4 linked regions of the Mytilus edulis genome follow. The protein of the gene in region 3 purifies or fractionates together with the protein of the main gene of each other region. This does not show direct contact. Links are inferred from orthologs where the notes say so. Each region holds a gene or a part of one and is shown on either strand. Other genes may lie near its edges.

The links.
Region 1: the proteins of U1 small nuclear ribonucleoprotein 70 kDa-like (region 3) and pre-mRNA-processing factor 19-like fractionate together in Homo sapiens (co-fractionation; 3 studies listed by BioGRID, with this or other methods). This does not show direct contact. The link is inferred for Mytilus edulis from reciprocal best matches to the Homo sapiens genes SNRNP70 and PRPF19.
Region 2: the proteins of U1 small nuclear ribonucleoprotein 70 kDa-like (region 3) and tuftelin-interacting protein 11-like fractionate together in Homo sapiens (co-fractionation; 3 studies listed by BioGRID, with this or other methods). This does not show direct contact. The link is inferred for Mytilus edulis from reciprocal best matches to the Homo sapiens genes SNRNP70 and TFIP11.
Region 4: the proteins of U1 small nuclear ribonucleoprotein 70 kDa-like (region 3) and splicing factor U2AF 50 kDa subunit-like purify together in Homo sapiens (affinity purification with mass spectrometry; 4 studies listed by BioGRID, with this or other methods). This does not show direct contact. The link is inferred for Mytilus edulis from reciprocal best matches to the Homo sapiens genes SNRNP70 and U2AF2.

What each region holds. Positions count from the first base shown.
Region 1 is NC_092349.1:80,858,349-80,865,823, forward strand, and holds the start of pre-mRNA-processing factor 19-like, read left to right. Parts: upstream 1-4,459; 5' UTR 4,460-4,500; coding exon 4,501-4,519; intron 4,520-5,756; coding exon 5,757-5,906; intron 5,907-6,844; coding exon 6,845-6,921; intron 6,922-7,475. UniProt on the Homo sapiens protein: Ubiquitin-protein ligase which is a core component of several complexes mainly involved pre-mRNA splicing and DNA repair. Required for pre-mRNA splicing as component of the spliceosome.
Region 2 is NC_092353.1:62,694,272-62,702,020, reverse strand, and holds the start of tuftelin-interacting protein 11-like, read right to left. Parts: upstream 3,008-7,749; 5' UTR 2,896-3,007; intron 1,681-2,895; exon of another isoform or gene 1,582-1,680; intron 249-1,581; 5' UTR 218-248; coding exon 112-217; intron 1-111. UniProt on the Homo sapiens protein: Involved in pre-mRNA splicing, specifically in spliceosome disassembly during late-stage splicing events. Intron turnover seems to proceed through reactions in two lariat-intron associated complexes termed Intron Large (IL) and Intron Small (IS).
Region 3 is NC_092350.1:51,881,873-51,888,807, forward strand, and holds the start of U1 small nuclear ribonucleoprotein 70 kDa-like, read left to right. Parts: upstream 1-3,910; 5' UTR 3,911-4,317; coding exon 4,318-4,461; intron 4,462-6,552; coding exon of another isoform or gene 6,553-6,935. Other genes in the region: potassium voltage-gated channel subfamily A member 1-like, read right to left, coding at 1,115-1,210, 1,791-3,189, 6,553-6,935. UniProt on the Homo sapiens protein: Component of the spliceosomal U1 snRNP, which is essential for recognition of the pre-mRNA 5' splice-site and the subsequent assembly of the spliceosome. SNRNP70 binds to the loop I region of U1-snRNA.
Region 4 is NC_092352.1:31,991,512-31,999,268, reverse strand, and holds the start of splicing factor U2AF 50 kDa subunit-like, read right to left. Parts: upstream 3,016-7,757; coding exon 3,003-3,015; intron 2,491-3,002; coding exon 2,485-2,490; intron 1,613-2,484; coding exon 1,483-1,612; intron 1-1,482. UniProt on the Homo sapiens protein: Plays a role in pre-mRNA splicing and 3'-end processing. By recruiting PRPF19 and the PRP19C/Prp19 complex/NTC/Nineteen complex to the RNA polymerase II C-terminal domain (CTD), and thereby pre-mRNA, may couple transcription to splicing.

The sequences.
Region 1 (7,475 bases), on a different chromosome or scaffold from region 3:
TTGTTAAAAAGCAGTAGTAACAGTTACATTTGTATATACAAATTGACCACTTACCTAAAACTGCAACTTTTGACACAATACTGTAGATAACATCAACAATCAAGTATGAAACCCCTTACAGTAGGAATTACAATATAAATCATACTGGCATGAAGACAAATCTACTTATCAAGAGCTATATAAAATGGTCAACACTGCTCAGTTATCAAGGTACATCTATAAAGCTGTTGATCCTGATACCTTTGTTCATGTAAATAATATTATCATGTCTTAACCAATTTTCTTTTTTTCTATTTTTCAATATCTAAGAGCTGAAAATGTCATGTATTCAAATTGCTCTTATGTAACAAATGTTATTCTAACATAGAGTCTGAGCTATATTGATTTTAATAATGATTTATAAAATATATCTTGATAAATAAAATTTATTTTATTTACCAACTGCAATAAATGCTGGTTAACACTTGAATATTTTTGCTGTAAAATTCACATGAACAAGTAATTTCCAGGCAAACTTCAAGCCATTAAAAACAACCATCACTATACATTTGTTTATTCTTGATTACAAAGCTGTCTTTACAGAATTACATATCAAAATGGATTGTTCCTTCTTTACATAGTACAACTGACTGTTATAAAATGAAAATATTTGGTGGTATTTGACATATTTCTGCTGTAACAACTACAACACACAAAAGTCAACAAACTAAACATAAAATAATTTCTATCTCATCATACATATGTTTACCACTTCCATTCATACAAATGATGTTGATAACGCAGGTCAAACAAAATTAAAGATCAAATGCTCTCACACCCGGCCACCAATGAGTATGAAAAAAGTGTTCTTGGAAATTTTTTATTTTTTTCACTTTCAATTTGAAATAGAAGCCCTTTCTAAAAGCCATAACAAACAAAGTACATTATGTTCTCATATAAAATATTATGATCAAGTGGGACAATACGGCCCTCTAATTTTATTTTGCTTGGCCTCATGAAGAAATGATAGCTATATGTAATGTATTACACCAAAAATGTTGCCTTTAGTTTAATGTATATGTTATATGAATAAACCAAAAGGCTTGTTTTTATGTGAAAATAAAATATGACCATCTTAACTGTTTTTCTGTAGGTTTTCTCTGTTTTACATGTACCCAGTACATTTAACACATTGAGAACACTTCGAGAGTTTACAATGGTCAACTTATATCTCCTTCAATATGAACAAAAGGAGATTAGAATGAAATATCTACAAAATAGCAACCAGATATTACAATTAAACCAAAGCCTAATTTATGATCTCTTACAATTGACAAGCATGAGGACTATTCCATTTAAATGGTTTTGAGAGGGCAAGAAGGGGCTACCCTAACTCCACAAACAACCAAAATAATATGGATTCGATATTATTTGTAAGAAACAAATTTTCATGGATTTTGTGAGTAGAGGCGAACCACATATTCAAATGTTCAACAAACCACTAATTTTCTATAGACTTGTATGCAGACTTTTGTAAAATCACGAAATCCAAATATCCACGAAAATGCATTTTTTGGTTTAATCTATGAAAATTGGTACCCTCTGTAAATATAGAAAAATAAAATATGGATTCTGAACATTTCTTTTTTTTACATTTTTGTAGGTTTTACTGTATTTCATGTTAAAGCAGGTTTCACAAGTAAAACTGTGAGCTAGTGCTCACTGATGATACCCGCGATGAAATATTTCGGAATACTGTTTTTTTTTTTTTTTTTTTTGTTTTTTTTTGTTTTTTTTTGTTTTTTTTTTATAATATGGATATATGGATGGCTGTTAAAATTTAACTTCCATTGCATGCAAATCAAATATATATTCAGGGCGAGTACATTATAATGCGATATGAATATGGACCCTTCTTTGTGCAAGACCTGCATGCTGAGCCGAACTTTAAGCTTCTAATTCACGAGACACGATCTAAAACAGTCCTCAGGAAGACAAGTCACCCTAACCAGACACGTTAATCATAATCCAGGCTGACATGTTCGCTCTTACTCCTAGCTAGGGTGTCACGCGTCTAGCGGAGTAGCAGCAAATACTCAAGTTTCAAGTCTTTGGTTTGATCCAGTCCACGGTACCATGCGACCACGCCGAGTGAGGCATTGTGTTTTCTAAGTACTTTATTACTGATATAAATCAATTTTGAGATAGCAACAGTGAGCAAATTATAGTAAGTGCGTACCTACTTCCTCTTCCAGAAAAATCGCTGAAGAACGTGTTTTAACAACGACTGAACTTAAAGATGCTACTGAACACCAAAGGCATCAACTATAATTAAATTGAGAATGGAAAGTGGAAATATGTCAAAGAGACAACAACCCGACCAAAGAGCAAGACAACAACTGAAGACCACCAATGGGTCTTCAACATAGCGAGAAAATACTGCACCCAGAGGTGGTTCTCATCTGGTCCCTAATTAAAATTGTGTATATTAGTTCTCAATCAGTGAAAATGGACGTCACACTAAACTCCGAAACATATAAACGAACTAAAAATTAGAAATACACACAAGACTAACAAAGGCCAGAGCTTTCTGACTTGAGACATGTTTTCCTAAATAACACAAGAAATCTTTTTTTTTTAAATCTAGGTTTCAAATATTGTAAGATATTAACTTTTCCATCAGCCTTAAACGCTTTTTGTTTTTATGTACTAGTATTAGACAGTTTGTTTGTTTGTCTCCGTTGACAGTTATGATTTCTATACTTTGTTTACGACACTTTCTCATAAACGCTTCACTTAATTGTATCACAAATATGGAGATTTCTTGCGGAAGTAAGACACCCCACCTGACAAGAATTCATAAAAACAATGTCAACTAGATTTGTAATTGCTAGCAATAACGGATGGCACCCTTCCCCCATTGCCAGGTGAGCGGCAGCCATTTTGAAAAATTCAAAGTCAAAGATAACATATACACATGCCAATTAACATTTTTGTAAAGTTTCGTCAATTTTGGAGCATTTTGAAATTTTTGAAATTTTTGCTATTTCAATGGTTACGGGTACCATTTCCAAAATTTCAAAGACAGAAGCAACTTTGAGACATGCCATGTAACATATTGATTAAGTTGTAGAAGGTTTGATTTAATATTCTTGCAGGAACTGCAGCTTCAAAATGTTTTCCCTTAGGGCCAATGTTAAACCTTTGCCCTGTTTCCATGACAATGGTGGCCATTTTGGGATTTCCTAATATTGTCACAACATCTAGGCATACCAAGGAACATTACCATAAAATTTCATCCAGCTAGATCTTATAATGAAAGATTTAGAAATTGCATTTTTTTTCACATTTTATCAGTTTCCATGGCAACGGCAGCCATCTTGATGATGCCATACCCCGTTTGCACAATTTCATATAGTGGTCTACATTATGGTATAGTTCCATCAATATTGTTCAAGCCAATTCTGAGAAATAGCATGGACAAAATGTGTGGAAGAATAAATAAAATAATAAGAAAAAAAGAAACGTAGAATAACAATATGTCACCCAAACTCCGTTTAGGGTGCCATAATTAACACTGAGCTTTTTACGTTAATATTTATACTTAGGTACATACATGTAATAGAATTTGTCTTTCAAGTAAATCTTTTTTTTTTGGCCCTAATAGGCGCTGCCTTTTTGTTAGTAACGGTTGTACCAGTAGTGTAGCTTTGTAGTTCAATCATTGCATTGTATTTTGGGGACGAGAATGCTTCGTTTATATTTTTTCTAGATCAGTACTAACATATACTTCTATACTGATGGAACTATATTACTATTAAGTACACTGAATAGTCCAGGATTGCATTGAGACTTTATCGATGGTTAGAAATGAATCACTATAGATTATCAGAAATTGGAATAATAAAAGATTCTATAAGTAAAGAATTTAAATGAATTTATTGACTGGTATTTTTTTTAACATAAGTCATATTTATGTCTTTTCACAATAAAAAAACCCCTATCTTTTCGGTTATTGATTCTTCTGGGACTGACCAATATCCGAGACATATATGTCACTAAAATGATATACAGTCAGTGGACATAAAAGAGTTCCCACTCAAAAAATGTCCTATCATTTCCAGTAAAATCGATATTTATCAAAAAAATATCCCCAGTCACTTTATTTTCTTTGTGTTCACCTCGTCAGAAAATTAAATGAAGCGATGATGAATAACATCTTCGCTTTTCACAAAAATAAATCTAGGGGAGGGGTCTGAAGGAACTTTTACTTTTTACTGGCAATTAAGTTGACCCCACCATGCATAAGTTTTTAACAATATTTCCTTTAAATATTAGAACAAGCTTTCTTAAATAACAATCACCCATCAAATTTTGATATTAGTGCTTTCCTATATCATATCTATTTTTTTTTTATATTTATATATCGATGTGGACTTTTTTTTAGTGGCCACACTATTATCCGGATTAATTTCCGACTATAGATCTGAATTTATAATTTCATCACGTGACATATTCAAAATGGCGCTTTGCTGTGCAAGTAAGAAAGAAAAAGAAAAATCTAATGTTTTCTCATATATTTCGAATCCCAATTACATCTACTGCATTTCAGCAATCGCTACAAGTTAACACAATATCAATGAATGTCTACATTCAATTTATATTTCAGTACTTCTCAAAATACACACCATACAACAACATGCTTGCCATGCCGGCTTAAAACAGGCATGAGAATCGTAGATTAAAATGATGCTTATGGATACAAATTTATAAATGAGCATTTTGTTGAGGTGGTAACATCAAACATTCAATCTCAAAGAAATCTTGTTAACACCAATGAAATGTCACATGTAATTGAATACCTAAATGATTTGAATTGCCTTTTGAAAATAAGGAGATTACGGTACGATGCCAAAACACCTTATCGCAATTCGGAGATCTACCTGTCTACCTAAGTTTTTCCATACACAGGAGATCAGTTTGATCCTCTATATTTGGCTCTGGTTCATCGTCACTAACTACACTTGTGCTACTTCCGGTGTTATAGGTGTATTCAGTGTCAAAGTTTTAAATAGGGCTCTCCACAGTTAGTTCAGCCATATTGGATAGGGGGCAGATTTTTATCAAAGAGTTGGAAACAGTATGAAAGTATGGGAAATCCTATGCATGTTTCTAAGCAACTGCTCTATTTTAACAATGTATTCCCTCATTTTTCACACTACTTTTATCTCTTTAGTGACAATCTGCCCCCTATTCAATATGGCTGAACTAACCGTGAAGGAGCCTATTATTGGGTGTTCTTTCCAATGTTTCTCTAGACGATTTCCAAAAATCTTTACATTCTGCTTGATGCAAGTTTTAACATGGGTTTAACTTTGACTCATACAACAATCACTTTTCCATTGTGGTGTCGGATATTTTCTGATGTGACTTCAACATTTTCTGGGAACCTTTGCAATGACCAATGTCCAATTGTTTCATATTTTCATGTTGGGGCCTTTTATAACCAACTATACAGTACTTCCGATTTATTTGATCTTTGGCGGACAAATAGCAATAAGGTGTATGACAACTATCCACCAAAGATCAAATAATATAGGAAGTAAGAAATTACATGTATATGGCTTTTAACTATGAGAAAAACAATACTGTATAGTTGGTTATAAAAGCACACAAGTACATGTAGAATAGGCTTTTCTCATCAAGAAAGCTTAGAACATATTGAGAATCAAGCAATGATTGCTTATTGTTGATACAAATGACACATATTCTTTTAGTCAGTAATGAAGTTCCAGAACAGCCAGTTATATCTCCTGTGTCAGGACATGTCTATGAGAAAAGACTGATAGAGAAATATATAAAGGAGAATGGAGTTGATCCAATGAATGGAGAATCAGTAGCTGTAGAAACACTCATAGAAATAAAAGGTAAGTAGCATGACTTGTAATGAAAATAAACTTACAAAATTCAAGTGTATGCTTTCAAAAGGGGACATGTAATAGGAAAGAAAAGAAAATACACTTACAGGATTCCTGTACATGCATAAAAAAGGAGGACATGAACCATAAACGATGTATGAAATGGAGAAAAAAGGTTATTTAATGACCTAATAACATAATACAGTATATTGAAATATAAGATTAAGGTACATGGACCCTTTATAAAAATGGTACAGAATTCAGGAGGTTTTAAAGATATGCACTCTTAATAGAAAATATAATTAATACTGAAAAAGAATGCTCTCAAACATTATCATGATTATGCAGCAGTAAAAGTTTGCATGTAATATTTAGAAAAAGTCATTGCAGTCATTCTTATTGACCAAAGGAATCAACGTCCTGAGTGGTGAACAACTTTAAATAAAGAAGATTCTGGGTATTTCCCAGTGCAACAATAATCCAATCACAAAAATAATTGAAAGACATCTAGAGGTCAACATACAATTTTCCCCTGTAGCACATATAGGTAGAGTGATATTTAGTTAACCTCATCGAAATTTACAAAATTGTTTACAAAGTAAATCAATTCTTGTTTCACAGTTTTGTTTATTTTGAACTCTCAGTCTGACATTAGATAAAAAGCTCCTGTTTATATTTCAAATTTTTGATTTGACCAATCCTTTTTACATCAGACCAAGAAAAAAAGAGAAAGCATATTCCAAATTTACTGATTTTTAATATTATCTCATAGGATATGCTTTCTGATAATATTAGTCTTTCTTAAATCATTGTAAATGTGAACATCTGTGTTCTCTTTAGAAAGAAACAATAAAGATCATTAAATGGATTGAACAAATTCATCATGTAAATGATTAGTTCGTCATGTTTTTGGATAATATATTACAAGTGTATTTTGTTATTTTTAGCTAACCCTCTAGTAAAACCAAGACCTGCTTCTGCCACTAGTATTCCAGCCATTTTGAAGGTTTTACAAGATGAATGGGTAAGAAGTTTATCTGTTTTAACACCCAATCTATATAAATTAAACAAACATTCAGACATTTAGTTTATCTGTTTTAATTAAGTCTGGTTGTATACTTTCATAACTTTCAGATGCTTTGAAGTGACTTTAATGAGATTTGCTGCGGATATATATTCAAATTAAAAATGAAGATTCAAAAAATATCATTAGCCTATTTACAATCCATAAGTTTAAAAGAAAAAATAATTATAGGTTTATTTGAATTTTTTTGAGATATAGAACATGTAGAATATTTATTATACCCCCGCTTTAAAAAAGGGAGGGTATACTGTTTTACCTCTGTTTGTCCTTCCGTCAGTCCCATGAATATTTTTTTTCATCGCATTTTTCTCAGGAACTACAATACAAGGATTTCTGAAATTTGGTTTCAGGGTTTATCTAAGTCAGCTATACCGTGTGATGCATTTTCAGATTGATCACTCAACAACTTCATGTTTACCGAACACTTGTATGATTTTACACATGATAGCCAAGTTGAAAATTTTCGTCACATTTTTCTCAGGAACTACAATACA
Region 2 (7,749 bases), on a different chromosome or scaffold from region 3:
ATGTATAGCTTTGACATCAAAATAAAAAACAATGTTTTACAATATTATCTCCCTTGATGTTATAAATAATAAATTGACTTTATAACAAATTCTGTCTCATATTTTACATACCATATATGGCCTGGTTTTTGGTCTGTCTCCTTCCCATTCTTGGGTAGAATTCATTTGCCAAATCATCTTCTGTAACCTCAAATCTTTCTACTTCTGGTGAAGACATAGTTCACTGTCTAAACAACATGAACAACAAACTGAAAGCAATCATTGCATGATATTGAAATACAAACACAGTTTTGAACATGGTTTGTACATGCAAATTTAAGTTTTGTTTTGTAAAAAATTTATTTCTTCTTTTTTTTTTAATTGTTTTCAAAGAATCTTAAAATTTCCCAATCTTTTTGATTGGATGAGAATTTTAAATCATTTTTGGACATGTATATACCAGTATGACCATGTAAATCATGTTGATGACCAGCCTCATATCAAATATGACGAAAATGCGTTTAACTGATAAATCTACGACAAAGGAACTTCAAATTGTGATCGTTGGAGAAGTATTAAAATTCAAATGTGAACTGTCAGTGGGGAAACAATTTTGATCAAATGAAGAAACTATACTCCTGGATGTTGCAATGCAGACTTACTGATTTTCCTGGGGAAAATAATTGTGATGGTCAATTATGAGGTTTATAAATAATTAACAGATTAGTGACCCATAGGATGGCAATAAGCGGATTAGTTGTAATCACAACTTGTAACACCTGTAAATGTAAATTACCTAAGGGTCATAAACTTGTCAAAAACATAAAGACAGGTAAATTTAAAGTATTTTAATGTGAAAATATTTTTACACTTCCAAAATTTAAAAAAAAAATAACGAAATTGATTTGAAATACATTACTTTAGTCAATGCGAAAACCATTTCGTAAATTATGAAAGTGAAGAGGGCTAGCAAAACCACTGATTGTATGGCTGTTTAGCTGGGTTTTTTTTAGATAGGTAGTGGCTTCTAATGCCTGACTTATTTTAATATCATAATCATAGGGTAGGGCTGCAAATAGAACATTATCAAATGAAGAGGGCAAAACGGCTATAGATGAAATGGTACTGTGGTCGAACAAGTTGTGTATCTGTATATCATGTATATCTAAGTTGTTATAAATTATGAACCTAACAAGTTACAGATAATTTTTGATGAACCATATGCATAAAACATTATTAACTTCTTCTTCTTCATCTTCCTCTTTTAGGAACACCCCTCTTTTGAGGGTAATATGGATAAAAGTCTTTAACTATGTACACACTCTGTGAATATATGTAAACACTTGCTAAAATCTAAAATAGACTTAAGTTTCTGAGTTGACTGATAATTGTCAACAGCCAATACACACTTATCAGTTTTAGTGTTGTGTTATGCATCTTGTAGCACATATCTCTTGTGAGCATTTTTATAGTCGCTGTCAGCTGAAATTCGTAGCGGTTATCGGTAAAACTAATCTAGACTATCAACCACGTTCATTCATGATATAGTTTTTCATATTCCATTCATAAATCGCAAAAAGAAAAACCACACTACTGACCTACCTTTTAAGTGATTGCAATGTGATAATCCTGACCTTCACATTTTCCAAGACGATTTTGAATGGTGGAATCCGCCATTGTTTTTACCGGAAGTGCTTCCGTGGAGATCAGTTTCATAAAATTTGCATAAAGCGCGGGAAACCTTATCACATCAATGAAAAGAACATTTCAGGAAACTGTGTAAGTGACGAATATCATATGTAAACTAATGATCCTCATAGAAAGAAGATGGTGGAATTACAATGGAAAACATTCTGGAAAATGTGAAGGTCAGGATTATATGGGGACAAAGTCCCCAATTACGGTAGAAAAATCAATAAAAAATTTTTTTTTTTTAAATTTCGGGAAAATTTCCCGAATTTTTCATTGTACTAATGAACTCAAAATCGTTAACTTTTTTTTCAGATCTACTTCCGTTTCCAGTCTTCTTCCGTTTCCGGTCTTGTTTGCATGAGACTTTGAATAAAATGTATATTTATCAATATATCAACAAATATTATATAGGAAGGAAATCAACACCCAATCATTTTTAATAATTGTTTGATATGAAAAAAACGTTACCTGGATAACAGCGTTTCTATGTTTACATTGAATATTACGTCATAACTTAAATAACGTCACAACTAAACCCCTTACAACAGAACCAACATCGGAAACGTTACGGTATTTCCGTTTCTTTTATCAACATGTTTGAATTAAAAAAAAAAATTACAGACTTCGTCCCCATTCACAGGTAATGGCTGCCTCATATTATGATTACTACAGTGTGATGACTTAAAAGGTAGGTCAGTAGTGGTTTGACTTTTTGCGATTTATGAATGGAATGTGAAAAACTATATCTCGAGTGAAAGCGATTGATAGGTTAGATTATTTTTACCGATAACCGCTACGAATTTCAACTGAGGGCGACTATAGTTCTTCTATTTTGAGCTTGCTTTCACTAAATATATATGTGAAGTTTGTACAGTCAATTACAAGGACTGTAATTTTATGTCTATCAATGAATGTTCTCTTTCCACTTCATTTGACATTCCTCCAATGATATTTGGTTACATAAGTTTTTATCTGGTTGAAAGTTTCTTTTCTTGTCTCACTTTAATGCTGAGCAGGTAGTAAGCATATGAGTAAGGTCTTCTGGTTCTTGATTGCACATTTGACGAGTTGGAGCAATTTCATATCTGCTGAATTTTATGCCGATCAGCTTGTAGTTGTAGGGTATACGTTCGTGTCATCATCCTACTTTTGGCATTAACGTAACTTACAGGTAATCTTAAAATCAAAAAATTCTAAATATTTTGAGTTCATAAACCTGTATACCTGCTAGCTAATGAAGCACCGTCTGTATGGTCTATCAGCTAAATACTTCTGCTTTGCAAAACCAGAAGGGAACACAAACAATTTTTCTTCAACGTTCAATAGTATTTTTTAAGGTCAAGTTACAGTAAATGGGCTATGTCATAGATTTCAGTAAAATTTGGCATACAGCTCTGGCTCGATGAACTTCAACTGAAAATCGAAATAATAATGCATTTATCTCAATTATCATTTGAAATATTACTGATTGAATTCTTACAAAATGGGTGAACATTTGTATAGAAAGCACATAAAATCGGCGAAAACTCTTCTAAAATTTGTCTTAAAATCGCCAAATCTCTAATTCTACTCCATAGATTTTTCTTAAAAAACTATATGTTGTTGATACATAAATTTCCGTTATAATGATGCAAAATAAAGATAGGGTCACCGACTTCGTTTTTACGGTATATATCATTCAAAGATGCGTTCTTTGTGAAAAAAACCAACAAAACGTCGAAATAATCGTAACGTTATCGCGTTGCAGGCCGTAAAACGTTGATTTTTGACGTTTTTCACTACCAATAAGGTAGCAAAATGATTATTAGACAAAAAACGAAGTCGGTGACCCTATGATTATTTTATATCATTAAAACAGAAATTTATGTGTCAACAATATATAGTTTTTTAAGAAAAATCTATGGAGTAGAATTATAGATTTGGCGATTTAAAGACAAATTTTAGAAGGTTTTTAGTCGATTTTATGTGCTTCCTATATACAAATGTTCACCCATATTAAGAGAAATCAATCTGCAATTTTTCAGAAAATAAAAGAGATAAATGTATAAATTTTTCGATTTTCAGTTGTAGTTCAACGAGCCAAGGTTGTATGCAATTTTTTAACAAAATCTGCGACATAGCCCATTTACTGTTCCTTGACCTTAATGCATTCGTATTTGAAAACACGACAATGATAATGACTAAAATTTAATATTTAACCAACTTCGGTTATGAAAAAGCTATAATTTCCGTGTTTAATGAAATCATTTAGGTTTGTTTTATTTGTGTAGTCATTGTATGATTTGGCTTATGTTACTGCTTTTTGTATCGCATAGATTATATAAATCATTCTAATTTTCTGATTATTATTTTTTTGTCGTCACTTTATGCCGCCCCTCTTTACATGTATTTCTCAGAATAAGTTTGAAAAATGATCAACCCGGCTCAACTTTATAAGAAAATGTTAGATTAGTTAGTTTTAGTTTAAACATTTTTATAATATGTATAGTGGATTGGGGAACACGTTATTGAAACTCATATTTATCCCTTTCTTAATTTCTGGTGCTGCATTTTATTATTTATTCTGCATGCCTTGTTTTATTTGTTATTGCATATGTTTTTATATTCGGTGAATAGCTCATTAGAGCTTATGTTTGTACTGTTTGTCAATATGCCGAGTCCAAATATAGTTTTACTTATACTTACTTACCTACTTTTCTTTTTTTTTGCGCGTGCGAGTGTTACCTTGTAGAGGCATTATGTTGCTCTTTTTTCGAAATCTACAAGGGAAATGTGGTATGAGTGCCAATGAGCATGATGGGACAACTCTCCAAGTCATAATTTGTTAAAGTAAACCGTTGTAGGTCAAAGTACGGTCTTCAACACGGAGCCTTATTTGGCTCAAACCGAACAGCTAGCTATAAATTGCCCAAACATGACTAGTGTAATAGCATTCAAACAAGAAACCCGACGGCCTTAACTAATTAAAAAATGTGAAACGAGAAACACTTATGAAAAACATCAACAAACAGCAACCGCTGAACAACAGGTTCCTTACTTATCCGCGGACAGGTACAAAAAGATACAGCGGGTTTAAACATTAAAAATAATTTTGTTGTAAGGACAATGGTTAAGGTTTTTCTTGTTTGTGTTAAAACAAACATGAGTTCCCAATCAAATTGTTCCTCATCTATTTCATATTGTATTCCCATGTGTATAACTCTATGAATGAGATTTATAGGATATTTTAGAATAAAGTCGGGGCAAATAAGACAAGACTGTGAGTGAAGAGTGAAGTCATATTCTAATTTGAAAATAAACACTCTATTTACATATTTTTTTACATAAATTTCTAATTATGCAGTTTTTGAGGTGATGTTGCTATAGATAATATATGTTTCCATAGTAACAATTGAAGTCAACAACACTTGACGATAGTAATTTAAAGTTTGCGTTAGCTTTTATATATTTTTATCGGTTATGACATTTAAGCTCTCAAACTGCGATATTCTGCAAATAAAAAATCGGTTGCTATGGTGATAAAACTATAGAAAATCCCACGTATTTTTTTTTCATTTAATTTGGTAAAGTAGTATCCAAACTTCATAACTACAGTGCTAACTATTCTGTACACATTTGGACTTTTCTAAAAAAAAACACCAGAGAAAATTTGATAATTTAGAAGAAGAAAAAAAACAATTTCAGAAAAGTTGAAAATATCACGACATTTTGTCATTTGGCTGACATGCAATCTTCACTAAAATGAAGCTTAAACCAAGTTGTATCAATGTTACATATGAACATTAATGAAAAATACATGATTCTATTCATAATCAGGCTCTAAATTGCGGTGATTTAGCTGATTTTTTAAAGCTTTTTCTACTCTTAACAACCAAAAAATAGATTGTTCGTTAACATGGCAACCATTCATATTTTCCCACTCATAATTATTTTTGAGCAGTATTCATTATTTACTGCTTCTACTATGTCAATTATAAGATAAAATCTGAAACCTTCATATATCGCACTCTTCCTGGTTCTTACAAAGAGTTGTACTTAAATCTAGCATTGGACATCCTTTTTTTCATATAAAGTATAAGTAAAATCATTCGAAAGTAAATAAACTCATCATAGATATGTGAACGTGGAAAAAGTCGCACTAATTTATGTATTTCTTATTTCGGACATTTGGACTTGTTTCTTATATTATTTATAGTTTCTGTTTAATCTTTCGGACAATTTCATTCTAATTCAACAGACAATGTACTTTGATTTGCATTCTTAAAGATCTTTCATGTGTGTCACTTTTTAATCTAAAACTGTGAGAAAAACTATACAAGGGATTGTGTTAATTTATGTTACACAACTATTTCATTTCATAATTATTTTAATCCGTTAATGTCGTACATAGATAATTCTTTTCAATATATATTTTATCAGTTCTTGTCCAGGACATGTTTGATAACAATGACATTAATCCGTTTTTCAATTACGGTCTATTGTTACTTTAAAGTGTTAATCTTATGTTTGTAAAATTTGTCAACTTTATTGTTATGTAATCTTAATTCTTTGACAACCTGTAAACATTGTCTATCTTTATAATGTTTCGACTGAAGTTAATTCTTTAGTCGGAGTCAGCCTTTTGAACTGACATCATCCGTTCATTAAAGTGAAAATAAAATCTATACTGAAAGTCTTCGTTTGTATTCGCTCTACCAGTCTGTGAGTTAGTTCCGCCAGTGGATTTATGTTCAATAGGCAGGGGACCAGTCTTCGGTCACTGTCATTCGTTTCGGCATCTTCGCCAGTTTCAGCAACAGAACCTGTTGCACGGTATCAAACATTCCAGTTACAACAACGTTGTCACATTTGGCGGAGGTAATCCAGAGGCGTGTTGTCTTTTTAGTACAACACACGGTACCGCGTACCTCAGCAGTCAAGCGACCAGAGTTCTTCCCCATCTTCGTATCAACTTTCAGTGATGGATTTTAATCTAAGACCGCAGTGGAGTATGTGGAGACAGAATCATTTCACACATCAATATCCAGTTTGTGGTAAATGTGGACTTGCACATCATCGTTTCGAAATGTGTCTAGCTTACAACAAAAGATGTTTCTCGTGCGACAAATTCGGACATTTCGCAAGACAGTGTTTCACAGCTAGACCAAGTTTATTCGGTAAAGTTCGATTTACTAAATCAACAAGTTCGAAAGTGTCAAGTGAACAAAAGAATTCAACAAAAAAACAACTTAGAGACAATCGCCGTTTAATACAGTATTATTCAAATAAAAACAGTCTCAGGGAATTGCCATTCAGCAGTGTGCGAAATTCAGCATTCATGAACTTTTTCGACCAGGCAGCCCCAATGAAAGTCGAACTAAAACAAGCAAACATTCAATTACGGAAAAATAAATCAGTGGTTTCCGCAAAATCAGAACTTTTAAAAAGTGCACAAGAGACTATAAGAACTCTCACCTGCAAACTAGTGAAAAGTCAAAACCAACTAGATTCGACAGAGCAGTTGAAAGAATGTTTAGACAAAATCACCAAACTAGAGAAAGAAAAGGAAGACAATGCTGCATGCACGAAAAAAATATCAGATCTAAACAATTTCCTAATTCTAAAATGTGACTATCAAACTAATGAAATCGGAAATATTGCTACTCTAAACCATGAACTTCGGAACAAATTTAAAATTCTAACAGATCAATCTGCCGATATGGAAAATCAAATAAGAATTTGTAGGAATAATCATATAAATCGTCCCAATGCAAGTCAGTGTTCCAGAAATGGACGTTTCAACAACCAAAGAACTTTTTATAGATAATTGTCATTTTTTCAATACTTGCGAAACGCGAGGACGCGTTTCATTCGAGGAGGGAGAAATCTGTGAACGTGGAAAAAGTCGCACTAATTTATGTATTTCTTATTTCGGACATTTGGACTTGTTTCTTATATTATTTATAGTTTCTGTTTAATCTTTCGGACAATTTCATTCTAATTCAACAGACAATGTACTTTGATTTGCATTCTTAAAGATCTTTCATGTGTGTCACTTTTTAATCTAAAACTGTGAGAAAAACTATACAAGGGATTGTG
Region 3 (6,935 bases):
TGTTTATATACTGGCTTCAGAAAAGGTCATGAAGGTACTGGAACTTGACTTTCAAAAATAAATCATGTATTAAATGATCACAGATAAGAAAATTTCACTGCAACACCCAAAATAATCTAACTTGCAGTAGAATTTGTTAAAAAAAAAAACTATCAGATTTTCAAGGACCATGGTAGATAGATAGTTTGCTAATACATATCAACCCCTGCACTAATAATGCACTAGGAGTTATTATTTATCATGTTTTATACAAATATACTGGCTTCAGGAAAAGTTCAGACAAATGAAATATATGATGGAACTGTACATTTTAACCAAAATTATCTCTAAGACATGTAAGATAACAAACAAAAAAAATTCACTGCAACACCCAAAATAATCTCTCATTTATTAGAGTTTTGTTTTTAAATGCCCAATTTTTTAGGACTTTGGTAGATATTTTGATATTATCAACCCCTACACTACGAACTACATGTATTATTATAACAGTATTGATTAATAGGTTCTCCCTGTTGTATGTGGGTTAATTAGTTTCTTCATTAGTGATAAATAACCACAATACACAGTCGACTTTAGTTCAGAGCCATAACTGCAGCACCTGTATGTACTGTATGTAATTGATGCACATTATATACATGTACAAATATTTTGTGATAATTATAAGCATATTCATGAAATATATGTAGTAATAATTCTATGTAATGATTCTGAACTACCTTACAGTAAAGTGTATAGATGTAGAAATAAATAAATAATATAACTATGATAACAGATTTAAAAGTGTTAAAGTGATGATCAAATTATATTGCTAATAGATTTTTGTTTTGTCGGCTCATAAATGAAAGTGGAATGTAAAAGTTTCTCAAAACTACACCAATAAAAAATCATAGGCAGTTTCATGGTCCTCTAATTTAAAGACAAAGCAGCAACTACAATGTATCTATGGTTACTCTGCAAGCGGTTCAAACATTTTGGCAATTCTGTTTTCTTCAAATATTACCCTTTTCATATATATATTCCTCCATTTTTTCTTCTGTTTGTGATTTTTTATTAATTGTCTAATAAAAGTATAATCATCTTACCTTTGTCAGCATTATGTCCACCAGTTTGAGCTTCAATCATTTCTGTCTGAGTCTCTTTCTTTGTTTCTGTCAGCCATTCCATCATCTTTCTCGACAACTTCCGTGTTTTGGTTCACTTCTAACAACCACTTATAATAGAATGAAAGTTAATTTGGAAATTCTTCATTAGTTAGCACAAATCTTCATTTATAATCACAGAAGTAGAATAAATCCATGACCATCTATAGAATAATCAGAATTGGAAATGTAAAGTTTTTTATCACTGAATTTTGTATCCTAGCCCTCACTATTTTTGAATATCTTCATATAAATAAACACTGATCCTTGTTACATGTATTTGATGTATACCTTTTCGTGTGTATTAACGCTATGATTTCTGGTTTTAGTTGTGTTATAATGGAAAGCTGTCATGAATCCATCTAGTATGAAAGGTGTTCATAATTCCAAAGATAAAAATACAAATTGCAGGTGCTTTAATGATTGGTGCAAAGATGAAAGACTTTTGGAGTTGAGAAATTCAAAATGAATCTTAATAAATATTATAGGATATAATATAATAAAATGCAAGGAAAGTGTTAACTTCAGTCAAAACACAGTTAAATTCCCAGTTACAAACAACTTGATGAGTAAAAAGTTCTAATGTTGTAACAGTTTTTGTCATACATCAGTCTCAATGCTTAAGTTATTCATACTAGAAGGGTTGTTTACCTTGTTTGTGTGGTTTTCTTTCGATCTGTCACTATTCACATTAATAAAACTACTGCCTTCCTCCATTTCCATAATATTTTCTGAACCGCTAGAAGCAATTGAACTTTTCTTGCTATTTGAGTAGTTTGGACAACTTTGTACATGATGGTAGTTCGTTTTATCATCATTCTCTGCCTCTCTATGATAAAAGTAGTTGAAGTTTGAAACAATCACAGGCACGGGTAATGCAATTGTTAGTACACCAGCGATGGCACATAATGAACCTACAAGCTTTCCCCAAACTCCTATCGGTCGCATGTCACCGTAGCCGACGGTTGTCATAGTTACAACCGCCCACCAGAAGGCATCAGGTATACTATGGAAATGCGTACTTTCTGCATCTGCCTCTGCAAAATACACTGCACTAGAAAACAATATAACTCCAATGAAGAGGAAGAAAATGAGCAATCCCAATTCTCGCATACTGGCTCTTAAAGTCTGTCCTAATATTTGTAGTCCCTTTGAATGTCTTGATAATTTAAATATCCTAAACACTCGTACTAATCTTATCACTCTAAGGATAGCAAGAGACATGGCCTGGTTGTTCGATTTACCTTCATCGGCAATTACGGTACCTAGAGTGATAAAATATGGAATGATTGCCACAATATCTATAAGATTCATTACATTTTTAAAGAATCCTAATTTTCCAGGACAGGAAGCATATCTAACTAAAAGCTCAAAAGTGAACCAAATAATGCAGCAGGTTTCTATAATGAAAAAAGGTTCATTAAACTGAGGAATATCATCTTCCTCAATCGATGGTGTTGTGGAATTGCCAGTTTCACTAGTTTTGTTCAAATATCGATACTTTTTGAATTCTGGTAATGTTTCTAAGCAAAAGATCACAATTGACATTAAAATAACAACCACTGAGAATATTGCAATTAGCCTGGCTGAAGTTGAACTTTCTGGATATTCAAACAACAGCCAAACTCGTCTCTGGAATATATTTGTAGGTAATGGTTTTTCTTCTTCCTTGATAAATCCTTCATCCTCCCTATACTTTTGAATAGCATCATCTCCTAGTTCATAAAATTTAATTTCCTCTGAGAAAACATCTAATGGAACATTAACTGGCCTTCTTAAACGCCCACCACTTTGGTAATAATATAACACTGCATCAAAACTTGGTCGGTTCCGATCAAAAAAGTATTCATTTCTTAGTGGATCATAGTATCTATTTCGTTTCTGTGGATTCCCTAGTAATGTCTCTGGGAATTGGTTTAAAGTCCGTAATTGTGTTTCAAATCGTAGACCACTTACATTGATTACCACTCGTTCACTGCACTCATAGTCACTACCTGCCATATCACTGGGCCCCATACCATCGACATCATCGGTTGGCTTTGGATAAGACCTGGAATTGGGAAGAACATGATTTTGACGCTGGTAATTACAATTAGGCCCACCATTACCTTGTTCTAAGCTCATCATAGCCACCTCCATTTTGCATATAAATGTAAGCCCTACTTACAACATTTAGTTTTGTTCATGTCATCTTTTCATGAATAAATATATTCCAGTTATTAAAATCACAAATTAATTTTCCTATTTGTAAGCTGTTTAATCATTTCCATTGTGTGCTATAGAACAGTTGTTAAAGCAATTTTTAATTTCTTGACTCAATGCCAAAGCCTATTTTGTACAGTTCTAAACTAGTCTAAGTTGTCAAAAAGAAAACTGTGTTAAGATTGTGATCACCTTTGCAAATGTTATAATCATAAAATTCACTTTGACTGTAAATCATTGGCACTGATGTCAAAGCATAATTTCTTAAACACACTTTCTTAAAAGTACATGTTCTTTCCAAACTAAGATTATCGTCTGCATAAAACAATCTCAAGTCAATGTCACTTTTTCACTGTCCATTTTGCACTTTTTTCATAGTTTGTTGCATGTAATTAAGCGTTGCTGTTTTATAAACATGATGAGTAGGGTTCAATAAATTAACAAACCATTTCTCATGCAAAAATTTCACCCTGAATCGCTACAATTTACTGTTGATCTTACGTTGACATGAACCCATTGAGTATATGATAGAGAGTTGAGACTTTGATCGATTAACCAATCAGAAACCCGTTTACAAACAACTTTGGTTATCGACTAACAGGTGCTTTATGCAGTGAATATTAAATTACCATTAACAGTTTATTCTTCCTATGGCACAAAGCATATAAAGTCAATCAGCTTTGACATTCTAGAATACTACATATTTCTTCTCTTGATAAGAAAACTTACGTTAAAATATTAATTCACTGCGAGGATAATACTTCACCTTATTCCCTGTGGTACGTCATTTATCGGCACAGTACAAAGCAACGAAGAACAGACGTCTCAATCGAGTTATTTAGGGACGTGGTAAATTGCATGTGTTGGTCAGAGAAGACAAATTGGCGTTTTACATTTACCGCTGTGTATTTGAATGAGGGTCGATAGAGGCTGTTGAACATTTTAAAGACAAGTTACTGAGAGATACTTGAACAAAATGACTGCTTTCTTACCTCCAAACTTGCTGGCTCTTTTTGCTGCCAGGGATCCTGTCCCATACTTACCACCGGCGGACAAATTGGGTTTCGAAAAGAAGAGGTTAAGTTATGGTGGAGTTGCACAGTTTCTTAATGAGTTTGAGGTAAAATCTAAATATAATTAAGTACAATAGATAATGTTTTAAATAGATAAACAAACTTACAATGTTTCCAAAATGGCTGACACTAAAGTTGCCATTGTTTACTAATTCTGCTTTAGAAAGTATAAGATATGTCCAGTTTTGGTTCGTAACCCCAGTCCATCGTTAGCTCTTTGATAATTGTGTGTATTAAGAAGTCAATTCTTGTAGTTTCAATCACGATTTCCCCCAAAAAGCACAGTAATGACAATTGCAGATGAAGGCATTGTTAAGAAAATCATTCTTAAATAATTCCTTTTGATACCAAATGTAAATAAACACACATGTGCATCTTAAAGCCTTTCCATTGAATCTGAATCAATTGGTGGAGCTTAGGCAGTTCATTATGAATAATTCACACATCAATGTGTTAACATAATTTAATCCATGACACACATACAAGCGTCAAAGACTTACAAATCAAGTTACACATATGAAGCCAGATTCTGAAATGCAATTAAGCCATTCATGTCACCAATGGCAACTGAATTTTTCATATAATTCCAAAAATAGATAATTTCCTTAAAGATAATCCAAGTTTACTTTACATTACACAAATTGGAAAAAATCCTTTCAATCAATGAATTGGCCTCCATAACTTAAATCGAGAATAAGCTACACTAGTGTCACAAAATAGATGGAAATTGATTTCTGAAAAGCAGGATGATTTTAGATGTGTAATCCAATACTAGCGTTTACCTGTACTAAAGCTAGGTGTAATAAGCTAAATAGTTACACAGTGTACAGAAATCATAGGAAAGTGGATTCTGCGATAGAAATCCAGCTCTTACTTGTTTAGATACTAGGAGCAAATTGTAAACAATGATCAGTGGATAAAACAGTGTATTGATTGGGAAAGTGTAGAGGGTGATGTACAAACATCAGTTGTTAATTATCTAGATACACAAAACCACCTCTAATATATGACATAAGTAAACAAAGTTATAATGGAAACAGGCACCTATCCATCATTGTCCATTAATATTATATTTTTGGCCAGAGAAAGAAATTAGTACATTCATCTCTAGGTCTCAACTTCATTTATAGGTCTCAATTTCTTCTTTCTTTTTTTTTTTTTATATCTATGTTTTTTTTAATTAATCCTGATTTTTTGTTTACAAAATATCATATTTGAAAATTATGTATTATTTTATTAATTTGAATTGACAAATGATTTGGATATATATGTGGCTACTTATTGATGTTACTGATGCCCTATCTCAAATAACAAGCAAAATGTGACAAATGTTGAATATTGATTATATATTGACAATTAACTTTCTAGAAAGATACAACATATTGTTGAATGAGATTAGACTTGTGTATTACAATTTACATATGGCATTATTTTTTATAAAAAAAAGATTGGACTTGTATATTATATGGTACATGTATTATTTGTTAAAAAAAAAAGGATCGGATTTGTGTATTGTACATGTTAATGTATATGACCATTATGGTATTATCCCTAACAATATACACACATTAAATATTTTGTAGTTGTATTTAGTAAAAATAGAATTGGGGTAACAAAAATTCAGTGCTGCAACCCAACAACAAAAATGAACTAAAATAGCCATATTTAAATGGAGAGATCTGCACACAAGTCAAGTTAAAAAATTTGAAAGACTGTTTTAAATTTTGTGTTTAAAACAGAATTGAGTTACAGCCACGAAATTTTTGAATTTAGTTGTTAAAGCAAAATACAAAGGCCTTGGAATGTTTAGGTTTTAATTATTAAAGAAAAGTACAGAGTAAATTTTTTACTAATCACAGGTAATCTTGGTAGTATGAGAATATGTTCCAATTATGATGCCTTCTCTCCCCCCCCCCCCAAAAAAAAATCAAAAATATATCGAGTGTTTTTAACAAATTGTTATCAGGTTTAATCTGTAAAAATATAACATAAACTATCATACTTAGTTTTACATTATGTAATTGTACATATATTAAACTACATGTATCATATATTGAATTTCCTGTGACACATTTCCTTAGGTATAAAGTTACAATGTTAAGTCTCAGATGTTTATATATACATGTAAATAGACTTACTTGTTATTTTGTATTTTTTCCAGTAAAGGAACTGTTGTCTCATCCTTTGTGTCTGACCATTCATCCTTGTGACATTTATTCACTGGAACATTTTCTAAGTTGTTACTTGCAGGATCGCAGTTAATATATTGTAATGAGTCTTGATATGGTGGAGGATTTGAATCGGGAGAAGATATCGGTGGTGTTGTTATTTGTTCCTGTTGATTGTTTTGGTCTTTGTATTTGTCACTGTTTTTTTGCTGCATCTTGAATATGTTTGGAAGACATGCTGACTTAGTTTCCTCGCCTGTACCCTGACCGCCTTTCGACGAATCTGACACAGAGCATGACCTGCCACTATTTGGTGCCGATTTGCTTCGCCTTATTCTTTTGGCAGCCTGTTG
Region 4 (7,757 bases), on a different chromosome or scaffold from region 3:
AAAGGAAAACGAACTTATTGTTATGTGTTTTCAACAAGGGTTTCGTTCCGCTAAATTATTTGCGCAAATAAAGTTTGTCTATTTTTAGATTACAGGTAATAATTTGACACTACGCATTAACCTGTGTAGTGATTTTGATTTTACGATAAATGTATGAATGAACGATAATTTTATGAATGAACAAGAGCACCTGACCTCTTAAAGAAACACAAATTAAACATAAAAAACCGTATTTATTAGGAGATAATTCAGTTAAATTTTCAATACTAAATCAGCAACTGAAATGAATCCATATTTTGTTGAAACATCGTACGAACGGCGGAAAACGGAATCGCATTTATAAAAATGTACTTTTTTTCACTCGGACTTCTATGTTATTTGATAGTCAAACGGTTGACCCTTTAAATACAAAAATACATCTACAAGAACATATTCTGAAACTTCTTAAATCTACTAACTTTTTTTTAAAGTTTCAAGCTATGTATTGCATTAGAAAACATACATAGGTGTTAAAGAATGACTGACCAGGAGCCTGTTTAACAAAATACTATGGCTTGATCTGGGCGGAGTCTCTGATCTGGGTCACAAAGATGGCCATACGCGACGGCATAAAAGCAATTGCTTTAAAAATCCAATATGGTGTCCATAACATGTTTTTACTTTTGCACATGTGAAAAAATATTTCTCACAAAAGTCAGATTTCTCTTGTCAAAAGGGATTTATATTTATATTGCAATAAATTATTCAGAAGGATCTACATTCAGTTAAGATTATATTTCTGATTCTGTGAGCAATTATAGTTTTATCAAATTCTCCCAAACAGCAACGTGTTGACTGTCTAATGAGACTTGTAAATTTGAACTATTTGAATAAAAGGGCATCTAATTTACATGATAAAGGAAGATTATAATTAAAGACAACAATTTATCGAGAAATAATTCCTTTTTATTCAGTAAAAACAAAATCTTCTTGCATGATTGTAAATTCGCAACTTCCGGATCCATTTCCTGTCAGAATAACTTTGAAAATATTCGATTGCACATGGTTTTGAACAAATCTACCTGAATATTCTTATCAGATATTCGATAACACGATGAAATTAACATTGAGCATATAGGTAAGGGTTTGGTAGTACAAACAACTACAGCGTAAAAAAACTGTGCCACTTCACATGTTTTACTTCTTTACGTTCGTTAAATCAGAAGATAAAAACAGAGAACATCGAATATCGATTAACTGCGTCTCTTATACGCTTTCTTTTAATCTTATTTAGTTACTTTCAAACGCAAAGATGACAAATATTAAGTTTCGTACGATGACGGAGCGGACCCAAAATAAATCCGAAGAAAAAAAAAAATTCTTCCATAAAACGTCAAAAAAAGAATTTGAGTCGGCTGGTTTATTTTGGGTCGGTCGCGTTTGGGCAAACATACAATCTTTTTATTTTGGCCTTGGTGATTATTTCTTAATGAATCAGAATACCTTTTTGATTTCCTTTTTCTTTCTCTAGACCTTGATCTTTTTCTGTCCTTACTTCTTGAACGTGGTTTTCTTGGTGATCGTGATCTAGATCTTCGTCTGTTATTAGAAACTTTTTCCTCTTTAAATTCCCCTGCTAATATATTTGACTTTTTTTATAAATAAGTTCATGAAGTACAGTATTTTAGATATTGTGATTTGTCTGTATATTGTCAAATGTGTATTATATTTATATTTTTAATATGCCTAATAATATAGGACCAACATGAAACAATAAACTGATACAACATTTATTTTTGAACACAAAAGAAGTTGCAATGGTTTGTTGTATTTTTACACATGATTAAAAAGCCTGAAAAGTTTTAAAGTTTAGGACTTTTAACTTTTAGAATTTAGTCAAGTGGTCCTCCATCACAAGTAATTTTCTTACTCTGTATCTTTAAACAACTGTTTGTTCCTTCTCTTCAAACATATGTTGACTTCAAGATATATTTTTGTATTTTGTATTATGAAGGTTGCTGTCTTACTGATATAAAATATGCATTGAAAATTACAGAAGAATAGAGCACCTGTTAATATCTTTAATTTTACTATGTGATGTTTTGTGAACTTATATTGTGTTTTGACTTTACAGTGTTTTTCTTTTTTTATCATGGTATTCACTATTGTAGGTTTTTGAGGGATTTTTTTTCAACTGTTGTCTTCATATCCTCTTCCTCTTTTAAGGAAAACCAGGACGACATGAAATAATACACAAATTTGCAATTTTTTTGCCTAACTAGCCCATGTTTGATTTTTATACATCATTGACCATGATAATGGTAGAATGTAAAACTCAAAAGCAGTATCCACATTTCTAACAGCTTAATAAAATTCTGATATGTAGATGGACTGTTTCTTGGATAAGTTGTTGTTTGCAAAATTATTATTGCATGTCCATTAACAAAATAGCTAATAATCAATCAAGGATCCCTATCTCTCTGTACAAGAAAACCAGTTACATACCAATTCCTAAAAGTAAAAAAAAGTTAATAAGTTGTAAAATGAAAGTATGAACATGATGAAGGGACTAACACATTTTTTGCATATAACATAATTCAAATACATTCCTTTTGAAATGTACCTGAATGAATCTAATCTATGCCCCCCATGATGGAATCAGTCTAGCTTTGATTTAAAGTTTTACTTCTATATACATGTATGTGTATGCATTTTTTCAATAATTTTCTTAACATTTTAATTACAAGGCAATGGCAGATACAGAAGGGAGGGGGTACTGACTACCATATGAGGGGGCCTGCTCCAATGATACCCTGAATATTCAACCAATATTTCCCACAAAAGAAGGGCCCAGGCCCCCTGTTCCACCTAAATCTGCCTCTACAAGAATTTCATTTCAAACTGCTTGAAAAGTTGACCATGATAAATCAATAATATAAATTTATTTTTGTTGAAAATTTCACAAAGGAAATATAACTAGAGGCTCTCAAGAGCCTGTGTCGCTCACCTGTTAATGTGTTTACTGATGTCGGCCATCTTCGTTGGTAGGCGGGGTCATTAGACACTTTTTTTTTTAAATAGATACCCTAGTACAATGTATTATGATTGTAGCGAAGTTTGATTAAATTTGGACAAGTCGTTTTCGAAAAGATTTTTATACAAGTTACAAAAATGACGAAAAGTTGTTCAATATTGACTATAAAGGGCAATAACTCCTTAAGGGGTCCTCTAACAATTTTGATCATGCTGACTTATTTGTAGATCTTACTTTGCTGAACATTATTGCTGTTTACAGTTTATCTCTATCTATAATAGTATTCAAGATAATAACCAAAAACTGCAAAATATCCTTAAAATCACAAATTTTAGGGCAGCAACCCAACAACCGGTTGTCCGATTCAACTCAAAATTTGTGAGGGGATATATCTTATTCTGATGGACATTTAAATGTTGAAAGATTTGCCCTAAATGTCTTAGTTTCAAAGATATAAAGCAAAAACTGCATTTTACCACTATGTTCTAATTTTAGCCATGTCGGCCATTTTGTTTAGTAGGCTGGGTCATCGGACACATTTTTTAAACTATAAACCACAATGATAATTGTGGCCAAGTTTGGTTAAATTTGGCAAAGTAGTTTTGGAGAAGAAGATTTTTAGAAAAGTTTCAAAAAATGACGAAAAGTTGTTAAAAATTTACTATAAAGGGCAATAACTCCTTAAGGGGTCAACTGACAATTTTGGTCATGTTGACTTATTTGTAGGTCTTACCTTGCTGAACATTATTGCTGTTTACAGTTTATCTCTATCTACATGTATAATAATATTCAAGATAATAACCAAAAACAGCAATATTTTCCTAAAATTACCAATTCAGGGGCAGCAACCCGACAATGGGTTGTCCGATTCATCTGAAAATTTCAGGGCAGATAGATCTTGACCTGATAAACAATTTTACCCCTTGTCAGATTTGCTCTAAATGCTTTGGTTTTTGAGTTATAAGCCAAAAACTGCATTTTACCCCTATGTTCTATTTTTAGCCATGGCAGCCATCTTGGTTGGTTGGCCGGGTCACGCCACACATTTTTTAAACTAGATATCCCAATGATGATTGTGGCCAAGTTTGGTTTAGTTTGGCATGGTAGTTTCAGAGGAGAAGATTTTTGTAAAAGATTACTAAGATTTACGAAAAATGGTTAAAAATTGACTATAAAGGCCAATAACTCCTAAAGGGGTCAACTGACCATTTTAAATATATTGACTTATTTGTAGATCTTACTTTGCTGAACATTATTGCTGTTTACAGTTTATCTCTATCTATAATAATATTCAAGATAATAACCAAAAACAACAAAATTGCCCTAAAATTTCCAATTCAGGGGCAGCAACCCAACAACCGGTTGTCAGATTCATCTGAAAATTTCAGGGCAGATAGATCTTGACCTGATAAACAATTTTACCCCATATCAGATTTGCTCTAAATGCTTTGGTTTTTGAGTTATAAGCCAAAAACTGCATTTTACCCCTATGTTCTATTTTTAGCCATGGCGGCCATCTTGGTTGGTTTGACGGGTCACGCCACACATTTTTTAAACTAGATACCCCAAGGATGATTGTGGCCAAGTTTGGTAGAATTTGGCCCAGTAGTTTCAGAGGAGAAGATTTTTGTAAAAGTTTACGGACGACGGACGACAGACGACGGACGACGGACGCAGGACGACGGACGACGGACGCCAAGTGATGAGAAAAGCTCACTTGACCTTTCAGGTCAGGTGAGCTAAAAACAAAAAGGAAATATAAAAACAAAAAGTTTTCAGAGTGATCTTTAAACATGATTAACAAATGGGTATGATGAACATATATGAAGTTTGAGATTGAAATGTGAGGAAATAGAGGGGAGGTACAATGTATGGGTGCACAAAAACATGTTTAACTCCACCATATTCTGTATGTTCCTGACCCAGACCAGTATTTCCAGCAACCTGCAAATGTATTATTCAGTGGTTGCTGTTTGTTGCTGTATATTATTTTTGAATTTTATTTGCTCTTTTTGAACAAAATCCATTTGTTAATTTTCTACAGTGAATTTTTACCGTTTGGCATGCCACATTACAAGAGAAGATAATTTACATGAGAGATAAAAAGTTAAAAGACAATGATTGAAGACAGCATTTCAAAGCATGCTTGAGGTTTTGTTCTTTGTTCAAGGTCACCAGACAGATTTCACGAAAATGGTAGGTCCTGCCGGTCCTGTCGGTCAAAATGAGGCTTGAACCAATATTTTGAAAGCTAGTTCCGGTCCTGATGACCGATGTAAAAATGGCCGTCGCAGTGCCTTTTTAATCGGTAATTAGTTACACTGCAATACATATTTACCTCGGTCATCAGATGTACCTGCTGGTAATTTCCGGTACTGGTTTCCTATTATAAACAAACGGAAACCTACGGAAACGAAAGCGCCAATCTACATGTGGCCTGCTAAATTTGTTCATTAAGCCATCCCAGGCAAACAATCGATGATTGAACCCTTTGGTGGAGATAACAAATACTGAGAAATTGATTCAGATGATGAAATGGATAGTGAAGATGACTTTAAATAAGAACAATCAGAAGATAAGAATCAGTTATTCATTGTTTATTTGCCGGTGGCTGTGAAAAATCAAACTAACAATAATAAAGTTATTTTAGATAAAATATTTTATTTTTATTTTAGGATAAAATTGACAGATTTTTTAGGACTGGCTAAAATTTTGTAGGACTGACTTTTATTGATCTTGCTTTATCGGTCCCATGGCCAACGGGTCAAAACAAGTTTTCGCGAACTCTGACCAGATGAGATTTAGTAACTAAACTCTATTTCATTTGGTATCTGATGGATTATTATCTCAAATGGCAATAATACATTATCTCCTTATATTATATAGTGAAGGAATGCCAGAATACCAGGAGAGAAACAATTAATTAAGCTCGAAAACTGTAAAACATAACTCACAAAGGCAGCAGAATGCAATGCACAAGATCATGATTTGACAATTTTTAGAAAAGTCTTAACCCTTTCAACGCTATACACGGCATATGTCGCGATGACATACGCCGTCCGCCACTGCTATTCGCGGCATATGCCGCGATGACAACGGATTTTTCATAAGGACTCTTAAACCATTCGGTTTTCATTCGGGTCCTCTCTAATTTTTCCTTGTATGAATCTAGGATATGCAAGGTCTCATTTGCGCTTGAAATCCCGGCATTTTTTATTGTAAAATCATGCAGTAGAAGGAAAATTGAAGGAAAATAAAAACAAATATTTTGACAAATGCAAATGGCGGAAATCGGAAAGGAAGCTGTAAATATGGAAATATTTCAGCATTTCTATGGCAAAACTGATGACTAGGATTAGTTAAAAGGTTTCTTGTTATCTCAATGTGTTTATTACATTCAATTCGTGTGGAAAATATGATTTGATCGATCATTACGAGTCGTAGAAAAAGGGGGGAAAACAGAGATTGACTGAAAATTTTGAGGACGGAGCCACTGATTTGTGCCATGATAACATAATACGTTATGTATGGTGCAATACGCTACGGAATCGAGCAATTGGTGTCTTCTTTATTATATGGCAGATAAAAAAACAAAATAGATGAAGACTAAAAGTAGTTTTTATTCAAAATTCAACACAAATGTAATAAATTACACCTTTTACCTGTTAATTACCTGAAAATGCAGGTAACCTGATACAAATTTTACTGAAATAACTGCCTAACATTACAGTTCATACTCTCCTGAGCATTTTTCATGCAATAACTTTTTCTGTATCTCTTATAATAAAAAAGATACAGCAGTCTGAAAAGAAATATACTGTTCTAATGAATAAACACAAAAAAAATGCAGCAGCAGCAGCCATTTTTCTCTTTTTTTGTGTAGCGTTGAAAGGGTTAAAAGAATTCCAAATGACAGTTTAAAATTTATAGCTTTTGCAACGTTTCGGCAAAAAACCTGTTCAGCTTAATGTGGTTTAGGTCATTAACTAGTTCATTTTGGCCCATTATACTTTTTTTTGGTTCTATCAATGTTTTGAATAATACATTCATTTTATAAAATAAGAGGTAGGTAAATATATCTTTATATGTAATGTAGACTTTCTAAATAAAGATAAACTTGTATGATCAAGCCTCAAGGATGTGTAACTACTTCTATACATCATTGGTGTCATGCAGAGCAGAGTCCGATTTAAAAAGGACCAGAAAAAAATTTGGTTGATTATATAGGTTATTACTGACGAATGACTGGAGCACCCCCTTCTTAGGCAGTTCCCCAACTTACAAAAATTTCTGGATTGACCACTGTAGACTAATTATATAAGTAGCAAGAAAAACAGTCCATTTCTGTGGCCTTTAAAGTTTTATAGCCGACTATGCAGTATGGATGCTCATTGTTGTTTTCATTTTTGTAAAACATTACGACGAAAAATCATGAGAGTAATAAAGTGATTTTTTTTCAGTTATCAAGGACGAGGGTGAATAATAAATAAATGAAAGAATGTGAACATGATGAACAACAAAAATCTCTTTTAATAATGTATGACTGAAATTAAGTTTACTTCATGGCCGAATCATCTCTCTTCCTTTAAATCAAATCAGCACTGTCCTCTACTCAAGCTCTGAACAGCAGTATCATCGAAATAGCAACATATTATTTATAAATAAAGATAACACTTCTGCTCCATTTGGACTAAATTGTTACCCTGACGAATAAGAATCAAAGAACGCGTTACGTTATCGAAAA